3 linked regions of the Bombyx mori genome follow. The main gene of each other region encodes a partner of the protein of the gene in region 2 in a complex. Links are inferred from orthologs where the notes say so. Each region holds a gene or a part of one and is shown on either strand. Other genes may lie near its edges.

Evidence for each region.
Region 1: SWI/SNF-related matrix-associated actin-dependent regulator of chromatin subfamily B member 1-A (region 2) and SWI/SNF-related matrix-associated actin-dependent regulator of chromatin subfamily E member 1 share a complex: the UniProt entries of both Homo sapiens proteins name them as parts of the BAF complex. The link is inferred for Bombyx mori from reciprocal best matches to the Homo sapiens genes SMARCB1 and SMARCE1.
Region 3: SWI/SNF-related matrix-associated actin-dependent regulator of chromatin subfamily B member 1-A (region 2) and protein polybromo-1 share a complex: the UniProt entries of both Homo sapiens proteins name them as parts of the SWI/SNF-B (PBAF) chromatin remodeling complex. The link is inferred for Bombyx mori from reciprocal best matches to the Homo sapiens genes SMARCB1 and PBRM1.

What each region holds. Positions count from the first base shown.
Region 1 is NC_085120.1:6,522,646-6,529,535, forward strand, and holds the start of SWI/SNF-related matrix-associated actin-dependent regulator of chromatin subfamily E member 1, read right to left. Parts: upstream 3,635-6,890; 5' UTR 3,476-3,634; exon of another isoform or gene 3,414-3,475; intron 2,617-3,413; 5' UTR 2,609-2,616; coding exon 2,542-2,608; intron 1,821-2,541; coding exon 1,776-1,820; intron 1,425-1,775; coding exon 1,147-1,424; intron 1,005-1,146; coding exon 801-1,004; intron 308-800; coding exon of another isoform or gene 232-307; intron 1-231. UniProt on the Homo sapiens protein: Involved in transcriptional activation and repression of select genes by chromatin remodeling (alteration of DNA-nucleosome topology).
Region 2 is NC_085122.1:12,049,555-12,056,444, forward strand, and holds the start of SWI/SNF-related matrix-associated actin-dependent regulator of chromatin subfamily B member 1-A, read right to left. Parts: upstream 4,450-6,890; 5' UTR 4,275-4,449; coding exon 4,194-4,274; intron 3,126-4,193; coding exon 2,935-3,125; intron 2,480-2,934; coding exon 2,317-2,479; intron 2,026-2,316; coding exon 1,878-2,025; intron 1,161-1,877; coding exon 949-1,160; intron 1-948. Other genes in the region: putative tricarboxylate transport protein, mitochondrial, read left to right, coding at 5,800-5,998.
Region 3 is NC_085132.1:4,598,997-4,605,786, forward strand, and holds part of protein polybromo-1, read right to left. Parts: intron 6,250-6,790; coding exon 6,134-6,249; intron 5,663-6,133; coding exon 5,412-5,662; intron 4,418-5,411; coding exon 4,141-4,417; intron 3,344-4,140; coding exon 3,079-3,343; intron 2,556-3,078; coding exon 2,457-2,555; intron 1,979-2,456; coding exon 1,817-1,978; intron 1,249-1,816; coding exon 1,042-1,248; intron 1-1,041. UniProt on the Homo sapiens protein: Involved in transcriptional activation and repression of select genes by chromatin remodeling (alteration of DNA-nucleosome topology). Required for the stability of the SWI/SNF chromatin remodeling complex SWI/SNF-B (PBAF).

The sequences.
Region 1 (6,890 bases), on a different chromosome or scaffold from region 2:
CTGTTTAAATGTGTTTACTTCTTTTTTACCATGCAAGTATCAAAATATGAGACTCACATGTACGTAAATAAATCACATTAAAGATTATCTCCTACTTTTGTTGAAGCGTTTCCATAAACACATATAAACAGTAATTTCGAGAAAACCCAGCTAAACTTTGGTGTTAAATCAAGCTTTGGTTGTGATGCTGTGTACACAATGCCCTTATGTTCAGTTTATGAGGCACAATACCTCGGTTTTTGTGGGCCAGCCACTGTAAGTACGCAGGTGATGATTGGTAAGCTTTCAACAATTCTGTATACTGCGCCTGAATTCAAATGTTTTACTTTATATTATCTGTCTTTACATACATCTATCATATCTATGGGCTGAGAGTTTCGTTTACATCATAGAGATCCAATACTTGCTCTCAGTATTTAGCAGCAATAGTTAATAAAATAAATAAAAAACATTATTTTAAATGTATAATTGTACACAGAAATTGCAATTTGTTTCTTTAAGCATTTTTATATGTTACTAGCTGTGCCCGTCTGCTTCTCTGGGCATTTAAAATAAACATTATTATTTCTCACCCCCATAAAGATTCTCATCGTCAACACCCCCACAACTGGTGTAGGGAGTCCAACACTCATATAAATATTAGCCCATCTATTAAGTACATGTATTTTCTACATGGATACTAAGTTTCAAGTCAATCGGATGCATGGTTCAGTAGTTATAATGGAACATCCGTAAAAACCACTGTAGTGTATATTAAGTATAGAAGTATAGATTTTGCATCAGCAGACAGCCTCTCATACCTTTTCAGCTTCATATTCATCGACAAACCCAGCTTTCTCAGATTCAGGCAGGTCCCTCCACATGCCGCCTATTATACGTCCAATTTCCCATAGTTTGAGGTCTGGATGTGCTGCTTTTACACTGTCCCATACACGGCGTGAGTACCTCATGTACGGCATGAGAGGTTTTTCTGGAGGTTTTGGTGGCTTTGGTAGTCCGGCTCCCTGGGGTAGTAATAAATATGGTTTGTTATATAGGAAACAAAAATTTTATAAGTTAAGACAGTTTTTGGTATTTGTGGCTTTTTGTATTAATGTAAAGTGTATTTTGAATACAGTAACAAATAGTGATACAGATTATACTTACAACACCAGCACCTTTCCCGATTTTCTGAGGTTGGAATCCAGGATGTGAATGTACGGTGGATACAAATGGACTTGTCTTATCATCTTTGGCACCTTGTGAGGGCTGTGAGGCGGAGGCCGCGCGGCGGGCGCCCTCTGCAGCGAAACGGCCCTGTTGCTGGGGGGCGTGCCACGGGCCGTAGCCCCCCGGGGGACCCGGGTGAACCATGCCCCCCCCACCTTGGTATTGCGGGTGGTACTGATATTGGTTATGGTGCGGCGACGGTGCATTCATACCGCCTTCAAGCCAAGCAGCGGGCGGCAATACAATGAAAGAAAAAAAAAACAAAAAGCGTAAAGGAGCAGGACGGGAGGGGAGCCAACAAAAATTCAAATATGCACTAAAACATCTAGAAAAATTAAAAAATAAACGTTAAGAAAGTTATTTGCGAGCAATCTAGCTGTAAATTTTTTAGTAGGCTTTAATTAGCGAAAGACTAAAGAGGTGATGGCTTGTGTCGTTGAGAGAAGAGAAAAATTTTGTGCAATTATCTTTTTTAATAACCCCACAGAAATACCTAAGTTTTGAAACGAAAATGGGTGTGTGATACAAAATTTTGAATAGAAAGTCAATTTAGATTGTGGCATTACCTTTCATCATGCCGAAACTCATTGGGGGGCCCGCAATCATGTAGTCTGTATCATTATAACAAAACATGAAACAAAACCAACATAATGGAATGTAAGTCTAAAATGCATTAGGATAAAATTAAAGTAAGAAAAAAATAAGTTTTGTTACTGTAGCTTAAAAGCTAAGATATGGGAGTCATGCTCTAAGTAAAAAGTTTAAATGCAGTTAGATACCAGCTATATCAGGTACAGTTCTCAGCACTGCCAAGCTTGCAATGGCGACAACTTCACATGTTAATGAAGTTAGTATCTAACAACATTCTTACTAACAATAAACAATCTATTTGATAAAATACTATAACTATTGCCATTAATATTTTATTAAAAAAATCTAAACGTAATTAGCACTGCTATCATTACATTAGCTTATTACTAACTTATTTCTTACTAATTTATAATTTAAAATATACAGTGTAATGTGTTGATTGCCATCTTGTCCCTCCATTATTTTGCTGCAAGAAAACTCACAGCATATCAATGTAAATATGAAGAGGTCTCAGGAAACATTTAAATCAGATCAGACTTAAATTAAGAGAAAATCCAACAAAGTTTATATAAAAGGAAACATTTTTAAAAGATTAGTATTATCTAGTTTTTAAATAAAATTAGCTGTTTAGAACATATCATTACAAATTCAATGGCAGTCAACATTCACTACATTAATAATATTTAAAATTTAATAAAATATATATTTAAATTTTTTGTGATTATAGTTGGTAATACAAACGCGGATTGCTCTGAGGACTGGGCATTGACATCGAAGTGTTTTGTTTGTAATTGTTTTGTGTAGCCATTGGCACACCTGAAACCAAATTTTGAATTTATTCCAAAACAAGCATATTTATTGGCTTATCATTCTTTATTTTTTGTACTCATAGTTTATGAGCTAGTGTCATAGTCATATTATACATTTTATAAAACAAGTCTCACACCATTACAAACTCAATACTGGTGAAACTACTTCACAAGCACTTCTTGTTCAAATTTTTGGGATGTATATAATTACAGAAAGAACACCAGCTGTATAATGGGGATTATTTAAAAAATGTATTGCAGTTATGGCAATTTAATTTCAATCCCCTCGTTTGCATTTTATTAAGTTTCATTTAATGATTTCTAGTCTACATAAGGTGTTTGGGAAAACAAACAAAAATATATCCTTAATCTGTACTTAATACTTTTAATTAAAATGTTATAGGTGGAAATCACAAAACTGAAAAAAACAAGAGACGACGTCGATATTGAAAGTCAGTTCTTTTTTATTCGCTTCATTTTATAACCACTTTGTTGAAGGGAGGCTGAATGACTAATATTACAAATGATTAAATTGGAGTCTTATTTGGATAGGCTAATATAAAGAGGCTATGATCACGCTGTGTTTGCATTGTTAAACATCTTAATGAAAATGCCAACAGTACGGATGTATTTGAATTTAAAGATAACTTAAAATGTTTAATTTTTTTGAATGAAATTGCTTGGAAATAATGCAACAATTATTTTGTAAGTCTGTTTACTTTTTTGTTGTAATACGAACAAATCCGCTATCAAGATACATTGTTTATAAAAATAAAGTTTTATGCAACCATATTACTTACTTACTTATTTAGTAAAAACCAAAGAGTAAAGTAAGTTAAAACTTAATAAATGATGTATCGTACTACCTTATCGCTTTTATTGAAAGTTCAAGCTTGGTTTAATTTTTAAAAGGCTCGATAATGGCAACGCGTCTTTTTCATTAAAATACTAACGGGCCTATTTCAATCTCCATCTTTCATTCCATTTTTAATTTAATTGAACCAAATGACAATTGACGTTGTCAACGTAGATTAGAGTAGAGCAATTTATGGTATCAAATGTAACACATAGTTTTGTTAGTCGATTATTAAATTGTACGTTCATTCTAAGGTCGTTTTAAAATGTTGATTTTGGATCTCTTCGCGTTTAATTGTGTAAAAATTGTGATTTGTTAACTATTTGGCATTAGTGAAAGTGTATGTACAAATGTGGGAAAATTAAACACAAGCCACCGAACGTGGCATCTCTGGTTTTTCGAAAAAATCCACCGAACTTTCAGTAAATAACCACTATTTTGCTGCTCGTGGGTTGTTAGGTCTCTTTGGAGGCGCTCGGGCAGTTGTTAGCAAATCCTGGCTGAGTGTTTGCTCGCCGATCTGTCCTGGCGAAATTGAAAAGGCCTCCGGGCCACCAGTAATCTCTCAATCCTAAAAAAACTGTATTTTACGGAGACTTTACTTTTTTTTATCCCATTTCATGTCGTCTCTTTTAATTTCATCCCAATTGATTGAAGACTCAAATTAATGAAGTTAATCTCATATCGCACAGCATTTTTCATATAACGGAATAATAGAAGCTTTTATATACTCTGTATGTAGAAATCTTTTAAATTAAACTAAGATAAAAGAGAATGTAACTATTGGCCATAAATAAACATTAAGAAAACAAATGTCAGATTTAAAAAAAAAAGAAGAAGAAGAAAGAAGCTGGTTTGGAAGATAAAATGCCAACACAACGATACACGATAAAGGGGGTAATCGGATCGCGTTGTTGTTATGAAAAAACGTTACATTGTCTTCTTTTTTTTTACTTGCAAATAACGCCCTTGATGATTATTGTTGCTATCGTCACACACAATTTACATTAGAGCAATACCTACGCTAATGGTAAATACATAAAGATAATAACTGCTAGAATGCAGTTAGTTTCTTCAAAGCGCACTGAACAAATTTTTAAATTAATTTATTAAAAAATTAAATGTTATTTAAGTCACACCAAAATACATTATAAATACATGCAATGGTCATATAAACTCATTCACAACGAAGGGCTGTTTTGACTATGGGCGGAGTGCAAGTGAGCATTCATGGATTCGATAAAAGCTATCTAGCATATGAAGCTAGGGTACCTTTTAATATTATTCCGAGATAGGTGTGGCTTGACATTGCGAAATTAGTAGATGATAATAATGCTAATTGTCATGTTACCAGGTTTCATTGTTTGAGCCTATCTGTACATGTATAAACTAAGGCTACGTATTGTGTATGACTTATGTCTGCGGCTTTGGAAACAGAGTATTCAGATTCACTAGTGCGGGACAAACACGCTGATCGAGACTGTGGTTTTTTTTATTGCTTAGATGGGTGGACGACCTCACAGCCCAATTATATAATTGTGTACTATTGTTTTAATTCAGATGGTCCAACTCGGCTCTGTCTTCAGTTCTTCTTCGCTAGAGGCGGCGTACGAAGGGAAGCTGTTCCAACTCCATACAAATTTGATTTAATTTCTACGCGATCGAGCAGTTAAAACCCTCGCACTAAGCACACACGAGGTAGATCGTTGGCGACGTCCATCGATGGAAAACTGGTAACGATTTACATAATCTACATAAATCAATCGCTTTTTTAACGTTTCCATTATAAGACTAAATCTAAACGTATTTTAACTAAAAACTCGTTATTAAGATCCTAGAGGCTCCTTATTATCTAGAGGCTATTAAAGACATTTTCATCTTGAGTGAATTTAATCATGCAACATTGTTATAACTACTTTTACTGGTGGTAGGACCTCTTGTAAGTCCGTGCGGGTAGGTACCACCGCCCTGCCTATTTCTGCCGTGAAGCAGTAATGCGTTTCGGTTTGAAGGGTGGGGCAGCCGTTGTAACTATACTGAGAACTTAGAACCTATATCTCAAGGTGGGTGGCTATAAAAACTAAATGCCTACCTCATTCTAAACGCTAAGCCCTAATGGTATGTGCTCCGTGAAGCGTGCGCTTATTGTGTGCATGAGTGTTTAGAATGGAATCCAAGCTGGTTGAAGATAAAAGGATGCCCTCGGAGAAGACAAATCTCCGTGACACTTGCAGAGCAGATGCCCGTACAATTTATCTTGGGACATGAAGAGGCAAGGCAATAAAACATAATCGGATGGTAGCCTACTGCCTAAGACGCGGTCTTTTGTTTTATCAGACCCATGAATGCTGATAACGTTTTCTTCTTTCCACACCCCGGTGAAGGTACAGTTCATATTCATAGTATATAACAGTTACCCCTATATATGCAGTTCCCGAGATCGAGTGTCATTGTGGCCTTAAGAATAAGACGCCCGATTAACTCATATCGAGCAATACGACTATACTGTTGTTAAATGCCCAGAGGAAGATAACAATTTTTGTAACATACGTACGTATGTATTCACACTTATACGAGTAGGTATAATGTCTACGTATGACTTCCACGATGGAAAGAGAACGTTCATGTCCTTACGGATCCATCAGATCCAATAACTCTTGCATTAGACACCTTTAGTTCTAACACTAGGAGTAGAAATTCCGGTAACCGTACTCGTTAAACTCGGCCAAGAGTTCGACGTGCAACCTAACCTAAACATCAGCCCGCTGAGTTTCTCGACGGATCTTCTCAGTGGGTCGCGATTCCGATCCGGTGGTAGATTCATTCGCGAACCAGCTAGTTTTGAGTTGTTAGGTATCCTTTGGAGGCACTGGGGTAGCTGTTAGCAAATCCCACCCCTCCTGGATGAGCCCATGCTCGCCCATCTGCCCTAGTAAAATTGGAAACGCCTCCGAGCCACCAGTAATCTCTCACACATAAAAAAAAGGTATAACGTCGTGTATTTAATAAAAATCAAAACCGGAAAAAATATACAATTATTGATGGTAGGGTATCTCGTGAGCTCTCTCTGGTAGGAACCACCACACGGTCAGTTCCTGTCGCGAACCAATTATGTGTTGTTGGTTGAAGTGCGGCACAACCTTTAAATTATAAAATTAAGACTTAGACCTCACGTCTCAAGGTGAGTTATCATCAGCCTGCAACAGTCCGCTGCTAAACATAGGCCTCCCCCAAAGCTCGCCACTGAACCCGATCTTCGGTTCTACGCATCCAGTTACTGCCAGCTGCCTTGCGCAGGTCGTCGCTCCATCTAGCAGGAGAGCGAAGGTGATTAGCAACATTCAATTAGTGTTATCTATGGGGCGCGGTAATCATTTAACACTAGATGGGCCGTGAGCGAGTTTCACCCATCTGTTAAATATAAA
Region 2 (6,890 bases):
CCTTAGAACTCATATCTCAAGGTGGGTGGCGACATCTACGTTGTAGATGTTTATGGGCTTCAGTAACCACTTAACACCAGGTGAACTATGAGCTCGTCCAACCATTTGTGCAATAAAAAATAACTTTAAATTTTAAAATTACTAAAAATATTCAAATGTCAAATTCTCATTCGCTTTTCCATGTGAGCAATGATTTATTGTGTTGTGAGTAAACATTCACACTCATTACCAGTGGTTGGAGTAGGTAGATTGATTTTATATACTTGTGTCAAGATATTACAATATGGACATGTCATTTTATCCATAATGGTTTTTTTTTTAATGGAAAAAAAAACATTTTTAAGCCTCATCGGATACAATTTCTTTATTTATGAGATAAAGTAACAAAAAGCCCTGTCTAAATTTTGTCTCATACTGACAAGCGTCATTTCTAAGTCAACAGAAAGGGACAAAATATATTCCAAGGTGTTTTTGTATAAAATAAAATACAGATTTCTTTCACCATTAGCTAAGACTGTGTAGGGATATATACGACAAAGGGAAGATCTTCCACCGAGCAGATGATATTGCTCGGTAGACCGACGGTCCAAATGTTGTTGTTCGGAACTTGTATATATGCGCTTTATCTTGAAAATGTCGTAAGCGAGATTCAGGCATCTGTCAATTATCTTGCGTTGTATGATGGCTACCCGCCACAACTGGTAGCGTAGATTAATATTATTAACGCGTTTTTCACCTCAAACACAGATTCCAGCTAATTTCAAAATTCCGGAACAAATATCACAATAAATATGAAGTTCCGGTATTTTGGAGGCGTATCCATATTATCTTCTACGTTTGACGTCAACGACCTTAAATCAATCTACCTACTCCGACCTCTACTTATTACACATGTCAATTACATCTTCTATATTAATTATTTGAGTTTTCTTTGTAACTTGAACCTACCTGATCTACCAACGAAGTGTTTCCAACGTGTATATTGAGTTTGACGAGGACCCTCTGGTCGGTATGCTCCTCCAGTATGGGGGGAGGCTCGCTCGGGAAGGCATCGATCTGTTGCCGGATCGAGGAGGCCACAGCAGGTATGAAGGTGCTCGTGTTCAACTCTAAATCATCGCACAGCACCTCGGCAAACTGTTCTGGTGTTATTATTGATTCTGGAAAACAATCCTCCAATTTTTTATTTATTCAAAAACTTGTTAATAGGCTGCCTGCAATCCTTGTGAGAAAAAGCCTCAGACACAGCCCACTGAGTTTCTCGCCGGATCTTCTCAGTGGGTCGCGTTTCCGATCTGGTGGTAGATTCTGCGAAGCACACGGCTCTTGCTAGCGTTCGTGTTAACAACGTCATCACGTTTGAGCCCCGTGAGCTCACCTACTAGTTAAGGCAACGCTGATATAGCCTCTCAAGGCTATCAGCTTAGGCAGGAAAAAAAAGTGGGAACATACACATTATGGATATAAAAATTAAGGAGCGTATTCCTAAATTTATGTAAGGGTTGTGCTAAAAGAACAATATAGAATGAAAACGATAAAACATTAAAAATATTTTAACCAAATTTGCAGGGCGCATTGGAACTGTTCTGTGATCCAAGACAGTTGGACAAGGTCCTCCTGATCTTCAACACTTACTGCAGACCAACAATTTTCATTAAGCATGATTAAAGAACTTTATAAAGAATAGTTATAGTTAAAGATATAAGAAAATGTTATTATATATTTTCAATTGACAGTCGATACAATTCACAGTAAATACAGCCAATCTATTTATAATTTGGTAGACAGCAATTACACATTCTATTATTCAAATACTTTCTGAAATCAAAAATTGAGAATAAACAACCAGAATTGGTAACAAATGCAGTTAAACATACCATTTTTATTCCATGTAAATGTATCCCTGAGTTTTTGACCCTCAATCTCCATGTCCAATCGAATCGGTACAAGCACCTGCTTTTGCGAAGCATTCTCCAGCATTGCAGTCATGTCTGTGTCATCGAAACACAGTGGGAATGTTCTCACCTGAAAAGTATTCATTTTATGCTAGTTTTAATAATGATACTTTAGAACTATAGTATATTACATTAATTCCAATGTTCCATTTCAAAATCTGTTATTTATCTTACGATGTGTCTCTGATTTTGAGATATTCTATCTATCTTATCTATCTATCCTGAATCAGAAGCTAAATTAAATGTGTTGTGTTGACCTTAGAGTGTGGCCCCATGTCAAACATGATTAACTAGATAAACCTAGGAGTCAGAACCTGAAGCCCAACTGGACTTTAAGTTTTGACTTTAACATCCATTTTACCTTCTTATTATGCACCCTACTCCTGCTGATTGGAGTAGCCTGGGGTACAGCATCCAAATGAGAAGAGTTTGGCATGACTGGCAGCCATGATGGAGTGTGTGGCTTCTTGCTTTTGCTCTCACGGGGTGTCGCCAACTCTTGGCTGACGGACACTGCTTTGTATCTATAAATTAATTTAAAGCTGTGTCATAGCTGTAAATAGTTTAATGGACAACTGCTGTTTCATATACAATTCATAGTATTTAAGATTTCCTTGATATGCACACAGCAACTGACCAGAACCGATGGAGACTGGCACAGCTGAAACAGAGTCACAATCCTCAGCAATGAGGGAGCGATGAAGAAGAAAGATATGCACACATTTTGTTTTTTTTTTTATTGTCCTTAAAATAAGACAAACATACAATTCTTCTGATGGTAAGTGGTTAATGTCGTTCGTGGACTTCAATAGTGCCAGGTGCTCACCAAAACTTAAAGGTCTAATATTTCGACTGACTACTTCAGGTAGCTTCACTTATCATCAGATGGATTATGAACTCGTTCACCTGTCTATGCTAACACAGCAATTGTCGGTTTTAACCGCTTTCAATAGTTCACAAAATGTTTATAATGACGTACTTATCATCATTCCCTTCAATAATGTCTTCAACTTCTGACGCCTTCAACAGTGAAACTGAACTGGACAGCACATGAGGACCAAGACCGTTGTCAATTAATCGCTTACGTTCTTCATTGGTGAGGGTACGCCGGCACATGCCAGGGTACTTCTTGTAGAGTGACCCACGGAACAAGCGCAGGTAATTCCCGACCTAAGGCAATAGTTAATTTTTTTGCATTTTTAAGCGGGCATAAGACTAATCAAAATACAAAATCTGGAAATCTCAAGTTAAAACTGCTGTTTTCGACACCACAATATAATTTTGCATTGCTTTTAATTAAAACCACTGTTATTGTTTAATCATTTAAATTTTTTGTCATAACAATTTACAGTAGTTAGAACAGTGTTAATATGCCATGAAAAATGATAATGAAATGAATATAATAAATATGAAATTAGACCTTTTTTTATACAATTCAGAAACACTGAAGAAAATACATCATTGCTCATCTAAAAAAATAAGAGCAGAAACAGCATTGGGTGCCACAACTTGTTTTAATTTGCACTGCAAGCAATCACTGTCGTTTACTTATTCAATATAATTCATAATGGCGCTTTAGAAAGTTCTACTGTAGAATAGAAGATTATAGTGAGAAACTTCACATGAACACTGAATTATGCAACTAGATACAGAAAAAAGATAAAAAGTACAGTATGGTATCTTAAGCCAGTAGTTAAAATGGACTGGTAAACTTTCATGATTTGTATCTCTTTAACTAAAATCTTAGGTTTCTTAGCTAATGATGTTATTGTACATGTATATGTATTTGGGATTTTGTTAAATATGGATCTGTTTACTGGATTACTTACTCGATTATTGCTAAGAAAATGAGTTTTAAAGAATTGTCATTAAAGGGCAACATAATTATTACAGCTCAGTTTTGCCTTCTACAGAAATTCCTTAGTTATTTTATCTCCAAAATTTGTATTCCATTTTCATAAGGGTGATATAGACCTATTGTTCTATTTTTTATCTTATACTTTGATGGACAATAAACTATAGTCTGCTTTACAGTAATGGAAACCAAGCCTCATCGAAATAAGAATAATTCTAAAAGGCAAGTTTGTATAATAGACCAGATTGAGGTTAGGAACGATGTTCTTCGACAAAAGAAAGACTAGCTCCGTTAGTGAATGAAATAATTTTTAATAACGTATCTTTAAAATTATGTTTCGAGTAGTTCGATGTATTTTTAATCAAGAAATGTATGGAACTTACCTCTGAGCCAACACAATAAAAGTCTCCTCCTTCTTCGATTTGAAAACTTATCGGCTTATCGCCGTACGTACGTAAGGCCATTTTTGTAGTTGTGTTGTTCCTTTGATAAAATAATTACATTTACTTCAAGAATTGTAATGTTAATTTGGTAAGGGTAAAATTTATAAATCGTTTCTGTGAATATGTATATATGTATCCAATTATTTTTTTAATTTTATGACCTGGTAACGTACACCTTTAAGTCATATATTATTTTGGAAAGCTACTGGACGTAACTTCTTGGGATTCACCCAAAAGTCCACTGAAAAAATCTCAGTGAATGACCATCATTTTACTGAGATTATATTTCATCCCGTCTCATCTTATTTCCTTTAATTTCATCCCAGTTGATCCCTTTAATATATGTCTCAAATATTAATTTAAATTAATTTGAGACATTCTTGACATCTTCATTTCATTTCATTTCATTTCACTCCATATTATCAGTTTTCATAAAAATAAGAATATAAATTATAATAAGATATAAATTAGAATAAGAAGATTAAAATAAGATAATGACTTAAAGGTCTAGGCTACCAAGTCATAAAATAAAAAAACATTTTATTTGATTTTTTTTAAGAGATTTTATGACCTGGTATCTAAGACCTTTAAGTCATGTCTTATTTTACTTTATATTCTTAATTTTATGAAAAATGATAATATGGAGTGAAATGAAATGAAGATGATTAATTTGAGACATTAATCAACTGGGATGAAATTTAATGAAATGAGATGATATGGGATGAAATACAATCGTAGTAAAATGGTGGTCATTTACTGAGATTTTTTCAATGGACTTTTTGGAGGGACCCGAGAAGTTACGTCCAGCAGCTTTGTTTCATTTTCCCACATTTGTGCACTTTCACAGATATTAAACAGTTAATAAACCACCGTTATTACACATTTAAACCTGAAGAAACACTAAATAGACAAAATAAAACAAATCACACAACTTCACTCCTCGCGTTCCCGCCAAAAAGTCCTATTTTAATTGATTTTTTTTTTTTTAAGAGATTTTATGACCTGGTAACTAAGACCTTTAAGTCATGTCTTATTTTACTTTATAGTCTTAATTTTATGAAAAATGATAATATGGAGTGAAATGAAATGAAGATGATTAATTTGAGACATTAATCAACTGGGATGAATTTAATGAAATGAGATGATATGGGATGAAATATAATCGCAGTAAAATGGTGGTCATTTACTGAGATTTTTTCAGTGGACTTTTTGGAGGAACCCGAGAAGTTACGTCCAGCAGCTTTGTTTCATTTTCCCACATTTGTGCACTTTCACAGATATTAAACAGTTAATAAACCACCGTTATTACACATTTAAACCTGAAGAAACACTAAATAGACAAAATAAAACAAATCACACAACTTCACTCCTCGCGTTCCCGCCAAAAAGTAATTTAGTTCATAGACTATACACAAACACATATTGTTAGCATAGAGTATGATTGTATATAACTAATATAACCTAAATTTTTAGTCTGAAATTAAATGTCGTAGGGGAGTGTCGTCGCAGTCGTTGCGAATTTCAAAAGTGCTCGAAAAAAGAGACCATGTCTTCACGGCAAGGAACATTCAAAAACCCATTCTCCAGACCGTGGATGTCGGAGACAGGTGCAGCGGCTGCGGCTGGTGGTTCGGGTTCAGTAGGCTTAAAGGGAGTTGTAGCCGGCGGAATTACAGGAGGCATTGAAATTTGTATTACATTCCCAACAGAATATGTAAAAACACAACTGCAATTGGATGAAAAAGGTAAATAAAGCACGCCACAATTATCCGAACTAAGTTAGTTAACTAATTGGTGTTTTTCAATTCATAAATTCATTCAAATTTTATTTTTGTCTTATGATTTTGTATATACGTCATACGTAATTTTCCTGCTGTAGCGTAAATCTGTAGTTGAATAATTATGAATAAAGGGTTCTTTAGCACAGGAATTCAAGTTGTAACTAATCAACGTCTTTTTTAACCTTAAAATTTAAAACCAAAGGTTTCCATTACAAGTACATTTTACTGTGTAAACAACTGGAAATGGACTTTGTTCTTTTTTCTAATATCTTCAAGGTTATTCTAAATTAGCATTGAATTTCTTCTGCCTTAACTACGATATAGGTATACTACTACTACTTAATCGATTATTATTTATTAGTTACTTAAATACTTAAATCATGTTTTGAAAGGAATATTTTACAAATGAGAAAATAATTGCTTAGATTGAAGTTGCAAAGTATTCAGTATCAAATTAACTAACAAGTTCTATTACCAAAAGTAAAAGTTTTTCCTAATTTTTTCTCTTTTTAAACCAACTTCAAAAAAAAAGAGGTTCTCAATTTGATTGTTTTATAAATGTTATGTCATAACTTTATTCCGAGTGAACCGATTGTCTTATTTGAAAGCTGTATTATGTGGTCACATTTAAATTTTCTCAAGATCTGATCAGCAGTTTTTAAGCTATCCCCAATAATGCATATTTAATTGATTTTGACTATATGAATTATTATTATATCATCATGATATTTTGTTAATGTAAAATGTACAAAAGAAAACTGTCACCATCTTTCAAAAACGAGCATCATATTTGATGATTTTATGGTGGTGCCCCCATTTAATTTGGTGATGTTTTAATGAAGATCTACAGTCAAAT
Region 3 (6,790 bases), on a different chromosome or scaffold from region 2:
CTTTTTTCAAAATTCCTTAAATATCATTATTTTAGAAATTATTAAGGAAAAATCAAATTCCTTTTTTTTTAAATCTTATTTTGTTTATAACAATCGCAATTTTTTATGTGCTAATAAAGCCCTTAAAAACATTTTTGTAGACATCATTCCGCATCCAATGAGCTATCGTACATATTTTTAGGAGCTTTATGTCTATTTAACACGTTTTTGAACTTGTTGACTAGACTACATAGTAGCTGACAGAAATGTCTGATTATACAAATAACAATTAAGCATTAAAGCAGTAAATTTTAAAGTATTGTGTTTAATAAGATTATGTGTTTAGGCAATTTAGGTAATATTCTTGTTCACAACAGATATTAAAAATGTTTACCGAATTGTTTTTTTCTAAATTTCTTTTTTCAATTTATTTATTTCATATTTATAATACATTCAAGAACTTAGAACTATATTCATGATTTGCAATAACTGTCATTTATTCTTTTTGAAGGGCAGCACCGACAGATAACCTTATAATTATGTATTACCATAAAATATTACCATATAATACTCTCCAAAATTTATAATTATTTAAAATCGATTATTAATTTATAAGTTTCAATATTTTTTTAGTCTATTATATTACGATAACGACGTGTAGAGCTAGTGCGTAGACGATCGACCCCGAGGACTTTTTGGCAGGAACGCAAGTAGTGAAGTTGTGTATTTTGTTTTATTTTGTCTATTTAGTGGTTTATTAACTGTTTAATATATGTGAAAGTGGACAAATTTAGGAAAATGGAACAAAGCCGCTGGACGTAGCTTCTCGAGATCCTCCAAAAAGCCCGCTGAAAAAATCTCAGTAATAAATAACCATCATTTTACTGCGATTATATTTCATTCCATATCATCTCATCTCATTTAATTTAATTTCTATTATCATTTTTCATAAAAATAAGAATATAAATTAAAATAAGACTTGACTAAAAGGTCTTAGTTACCAGGTCACAAATCTCCTAAAAAAAAACGACCCCGCCCGCTACAGGAACTACTAGGAGTTACCTAGTTTCATCCTCATCGTCGTTCTCTTGCAGCAGCTTGCACTGCTTGATGAGCTCGACGCTGGTGGAGACGGTGTCGCGCGTGAAGGTGAGCGCCGGCGACTGCAGCGTGCCGCGGCACAGCGCGTCCCTCTGCTCTATGTAGTAGCACTGCAGCTCGACTGAGTCTTCGAAAATTTGACTATCTGTACGGGAGAGGCGACGTGCTCTGCGAAAATGTTCAAAAACAGATTTTAGATAGCACAATACCACTGCTTGTTTCTGGCGAAAACAGCCTGCATTCTGATTCATAGTCCGGCGCGGCTGTATATAATGCAGTTTAGATTTCTACTCCATGTGTATAGGTGAGTGACGGTCATGTTGTGATGTCTGTGGACACCGCTATTTTTTTATTGCTTAGATGTGTGGGCGAGCTCACAGCCCACCTGGTGTTAAGTGGTTACTGGAGTCCATAGACATCAACAATGTAAATGCGCTACACACCTTGAGATATATGTTCTAAGGTCTCAGTATAGTTACAACGGCTGCCCCACCCTTCAAACAGAAACGCATTACTGCTTCACGGCAGAAATAGGCAGGGTGGTGGTACCTACCCGTGCGGACTCACAAGAGGTGCTGCCACCAATAAACCAGATTTCTACTTCATGTGTATAGGTTAATGACGGTCATGTTGTGGTATCTATAGACACCGCTGTTCATTTAACAGCAGTACGTTACGAGCGGTGCAGCTTACAGATAAATTAGATTAATTAATACTTTTTTTTTTACTTGATTACCTTTCAAACACAGCAAACATATCTTGCTGGAAATGATCCAGTCTCTTGTACAGCCCTTTGTCAAGTCTTCTCTTGACCAAATCCAGCGATATAGCTCGCATCTTCTCGCCATTGTTTGTTTCGTCGTGTTCCGGTAACTCGGCCATGCTGTCTGAGTAACACCTGAACATTTTCAAAATAGAATTCATTATTACACTGAAATATTACTGAAAATCAATAAAATAAAACAAAAATCAGTGTTCAAGTGACAAATTGAGAAAATATCACTTCAAATTTAATGTTTCAAATAATTCACTAATGTGAAGCATTCACTTAATTTAATTTAGAACTTAGGCAATTTAGAAGATCAGATCAGAATAGAGAAGATTAATCAAAAATATTACAAAAATGATTTGACACATGAAATATATTTTATAATGTACATATACAAAATATTAGTAAAAAAGACAGTATAAATATTATCAAAAGTGTCAAAAATAATTAAGAAGATGTATAAGAAGATCAAGAATAATTAAGATGATGAGTGATTAAATATTCAGCGTACTGAATTTCCTCCCAATCATTTTAGTTTTGTAGTAAATCTGATATAACGATACAAGTTTCCTACCATTAAACATTTGGTTTTAACGACTATTCTCACCTCCCCTCTTCATCTTGATGATTGTATACTGTGGTAAAGAGATTCAATAATAGTTCTTGGACAGCGGCTGGAACGTCGGGCACTGCATCGTCGTCTTGACTGTTGACGGAAATATTTTTGTACATTTATTCAATTTAAGTTTTAATGCTCATATATGTATACAACGTGTTACAAAATACTCCGTAAAAAATATAATTAATTATCAAAGACAAAAATTTTGTTAACCCTAGTAAGCTGTCATGTCAGGGAACAAAATTATTTAACAGAAAAGCCTACATACCTATTTTACTTAATAATTGTCTACTCTAATAATTTTTCTATTTTTCAATCATAAATATTTGCTACCTCAATACAAGGATATCATTATACTCAAGTACTGGCTTAAAAAAATGTCAAGTAGGAAAAAAATGTATGTTTTTCATGTAGGTGCACTCTGCGTAGTTTAATATTATAAATGTAAAAGTGAAAGAAGCCGCTGGCACAGTCTAGTGTCTATATATGAAACGTTATTATGTTACTCCCTTTTATAACTTTGATTTATTCAATTTGGCAGTATAAATTCGACATACCTAGGTACGTTAATCATGAAGCTTACTAATTGCTAAAACTTATAAGACTTTACCTTAACATCTGCTTGGTCTGCAGACAGACTCTGTGCAGTATCAAAGCGTCCTTGTAGATCTGCGAGTCGGGCTCATTGTACTTGCAGGCGTTATCGAACATCAGTATGAAATCCGAAGCCAGCTCGTTAACTGAACTGTAACTGTTGCTCTTCAATTTGTGAGCAATCTTCTCCATGTCTATCGGGTTCTTGATGAGCTCATAATAATCAGGGTACTCAGTTTTACTGGGTAGCTTCATGAAGATCAGGGCCAGCTGGCGGTTGGCTGTAATCACAGAGACCACTTTTTTTAAACGGATGAATGGTGGAACAGGAAGAATTTATTTATTGGCACTTCGCAGCAAGTTGGTGAGTTCGTCTACCTACTTGAAGCACTAAAATTAAATTAAAATTCCGGCAATGGAATGAGCTCCCCTCCACGGTGTTTCCCGAGCGCTATGACATGTCCTTCTTCAAACGAGGCTTGTGGAGATTATTAAGCGGTAGGCAGCGGCTTGGCTCTGCCCCTGGCATTGCTGAAGTCCATGGGCAACGGTAACCACTCACCATCAGGTGGGCCGTGCGCTCGTCTGCCTACAAGGGCAATAAAAAAAGTCGTCGTGGCCTAAAGGATAAGACGTCCGGTGCATTCGTGTGTAGCGATGCACCGGTGTTCGAATCCCGCAGGCGGGTACCAATTTTTCTAATGAAATACGTACTCAACAAATGTTCACGATTGACTTCCACGGTGAAGGAATAACATCGTGTAATAAAAATCAAACCCGCAAAATTAGAATTTGCATAATCACTGGTGGTAGGACCTCTTGGGAGTCCGCACGGGTAGGTACCACCACCCCGCCTATTTCCGCCGTGAAGCAGTAATGCGTTTCGGTTCGAAGGGTGGGGTAGCCGTTGTAACTATACTGAGACCTTAGAACTTATATCTCAAGGTGGGTGGCGCATTTACGTTGTAGATGTCTATGGGCTCCAGTAACCACTTAACATCAGGTGGGCTGTGAGCTCGTCCACCCATCTAAGCAATAAAAAAATAAAAAATAAAAAAAAAATAAACGGTCATCTCACCTTTTGGATCCCTATAGTCCCGGATAGCGTCATACAACGTTCTCAGCTTCTGTTCGAACGGCGACAGTTGCCTCGACCTTGGCTGAGCCTTCAGACTCTTCATGGGCGTCTTTTTCTCGTAATTGCTGTTCAATTCCTTTATCTTTTCGTTCATGACCCGTTCTAGAAGGTTCGCGTCCTCGTATACCATAGAGCCCTCTTCGTTGAAATGGCGGCAGTTTGAGAACATCAAACGGAAGTCCGCTATCATCTCTTCTAGTGAATTATAACGATCGTTCTGTTGGCGATTTGTTTTAATCAGTTTTAATAATAACTCAAAACGTTGAGAACGAGAAAAGGAAGAAAGAGACACTAAAGGAGATAATAGTTTTTCAGAAATCACATAGTGCAGTAACAAGACAGTAAGTTTATTTAACGTAAAGAAAATCCGCGTTTTTGCGTTATCCGCTTAATGGTTCAATTTAGACAATGTGTATTTCTGAGTGTTTTGTTTCTTCTTACACAACATTCAAAACTATTCGTGAATATAAATATCTTGGGGAACAGTGGATAATGTTGGTATAGCTATGGTGACCAACTATTTTTTGTTTAAAAAGAGTACACCTTGCAAGTATTTCATAGGTGACAAATAAAGAAGAAAAAACGATAAAAACTTTATTTTCTTTTAATAATATTATTCTTTGCAGTGGATTTTTTGCTAAATGAGGATTTCTGTCTAATAATGTAGCCACATCCAAACAACTTTGCATATTAAATTTGACTACATGTGCTATAGTATAGCACATGTAGTCGACATACAACGATATCGAAGTCGTCATGGCCTAAAGGATAAGACGTCCAGTGCATTCGTATCCAACGATGCACCGGTGTTCGAATCTCAGGCGGGTACCAATTTTTTTAATGAAATACGTACTTGACAAATGTTCACGATAGACTTCCACGGTGAAGGAATAACATCGTGTAATAAAAATCAATACCGCAAAATTATAATTTGCATAATTACTGGTGGTAGGACCTCTTGTGAATCCGCACGGGTAGGTACCACCATCCTGACTTTTTCTGCGGTGAATCTGTAATGCGTTTCGGTTTGAAGGGCCCCACCCTTGTAACTATAGTCTATAGCCGTTGTGACTATACTGAGACCTTAAACTTATATCTCAAGGTGGGTGGCGCATTTACGTTGTACATGTCTATGGGCTCCAGTAACCACTTAACACCAGGTGCGCTGTGAGCTCGTCTACCCATATAAACAATAAATAATAAAAACGTACCTTAATGTTAGCTTCAATCGTCAGCATATCGATGGGCCGATCGATGACGTTGTAATATTCCGGATACAGTTTCTTGCTGGGCTTTTCCATGAACAGCAGCATCGGCTGGCGGCCGTCGGAGCACGTGAACTCGACCAGCTGCTTGGCCACGTAGTGCAGCTTCTTCTTCAGCGGCATGTTCGGCTTCAGCACGAGCGGCGCGGCGGCGGGCGGCGGGGCGGGCGCGGGCAGCGGGTTGATGCGCGGACGACCTGGACATTTTGTTTACTCACCATTTGAGCAAGCACTACAATTTAACGACATTTCTTTTATTTATCTTTGGAACGAACTTCCTTATGGAACGATGCCGATGGGCACCCTAACCGGGAAAAAACGTTCGTAACGTAATATTTTTTATTAGTAATGCATACAGTGTACGACTTAACTTTGTAATAACGTACAAAAAATAACATATTTTTTTATCATTCATTGACCACGATCTCAGAGCGTTCGTTTGCGCAATACACTTACTCTTATGCAAACAACCGTGAATGAAGTGTACCACAATAAGTTCGCACGTTACCGAATGACCCTGAGTTGTTGCGAAACCTCCAGTTTTATTTTCTTTATACCTCGAATAGAATTTAAAATTAATATTTTTATAATAAGGAACTTCGTTCCTATCCGGTGTCCCACGACACCACACATCGTTTATTTATGTATTTAATTTGAATATGGCTTACCTCTTGGCCGTGGAGTCTGCACTTGAGTTTGATTCTTTACTGAAGACAGGCTTTCATCATCACTCGATGATGACTGAACTATATCCAGGAGTTCTTGGACACGTTGTTGCATTAAGCTTTAAGTAAAATATTTCACTTTTAAATTTCAATGATAATAGCGTGTATCAATTATTACTGTTGGAGGATCTTTTAGTAGTCGGGGAATGGGGCCAGACTACACCCCTGGAGGTAGGTGGAAATCCGCCGGGCAGGAATTTTACTTATTTATATTCTTTGGTTTTTTTTTATTATTGTTGAAAGTCAAACTAGTTATTAGAAAATAATAAAAAAAAAGTTACAAAACAAATTCTCTGAAATTTTTCACAAAACTATGTAAGGAAAAATTACTCCAAGTTTTGTGCGATCTTACATGCATAGTAAATACACAGCCCTCTGAAATAGTTACCAATTTTATTATCATAAGATATTGTATTGCTAACCATACAGTTTTTTTTTAATTTTGAGCATAAGAGTTTCAAGTTTCTTTACTTATTTGCTAAATTCATCTTGATTTTAGAAATGTTCATACAATCTTCTGCCAATTGAGACAGAAAGTGCCGAAATTGTCAAAACAACGAGTACGCTGTCATAAAATCAGACGAACTCTTAATTACTATT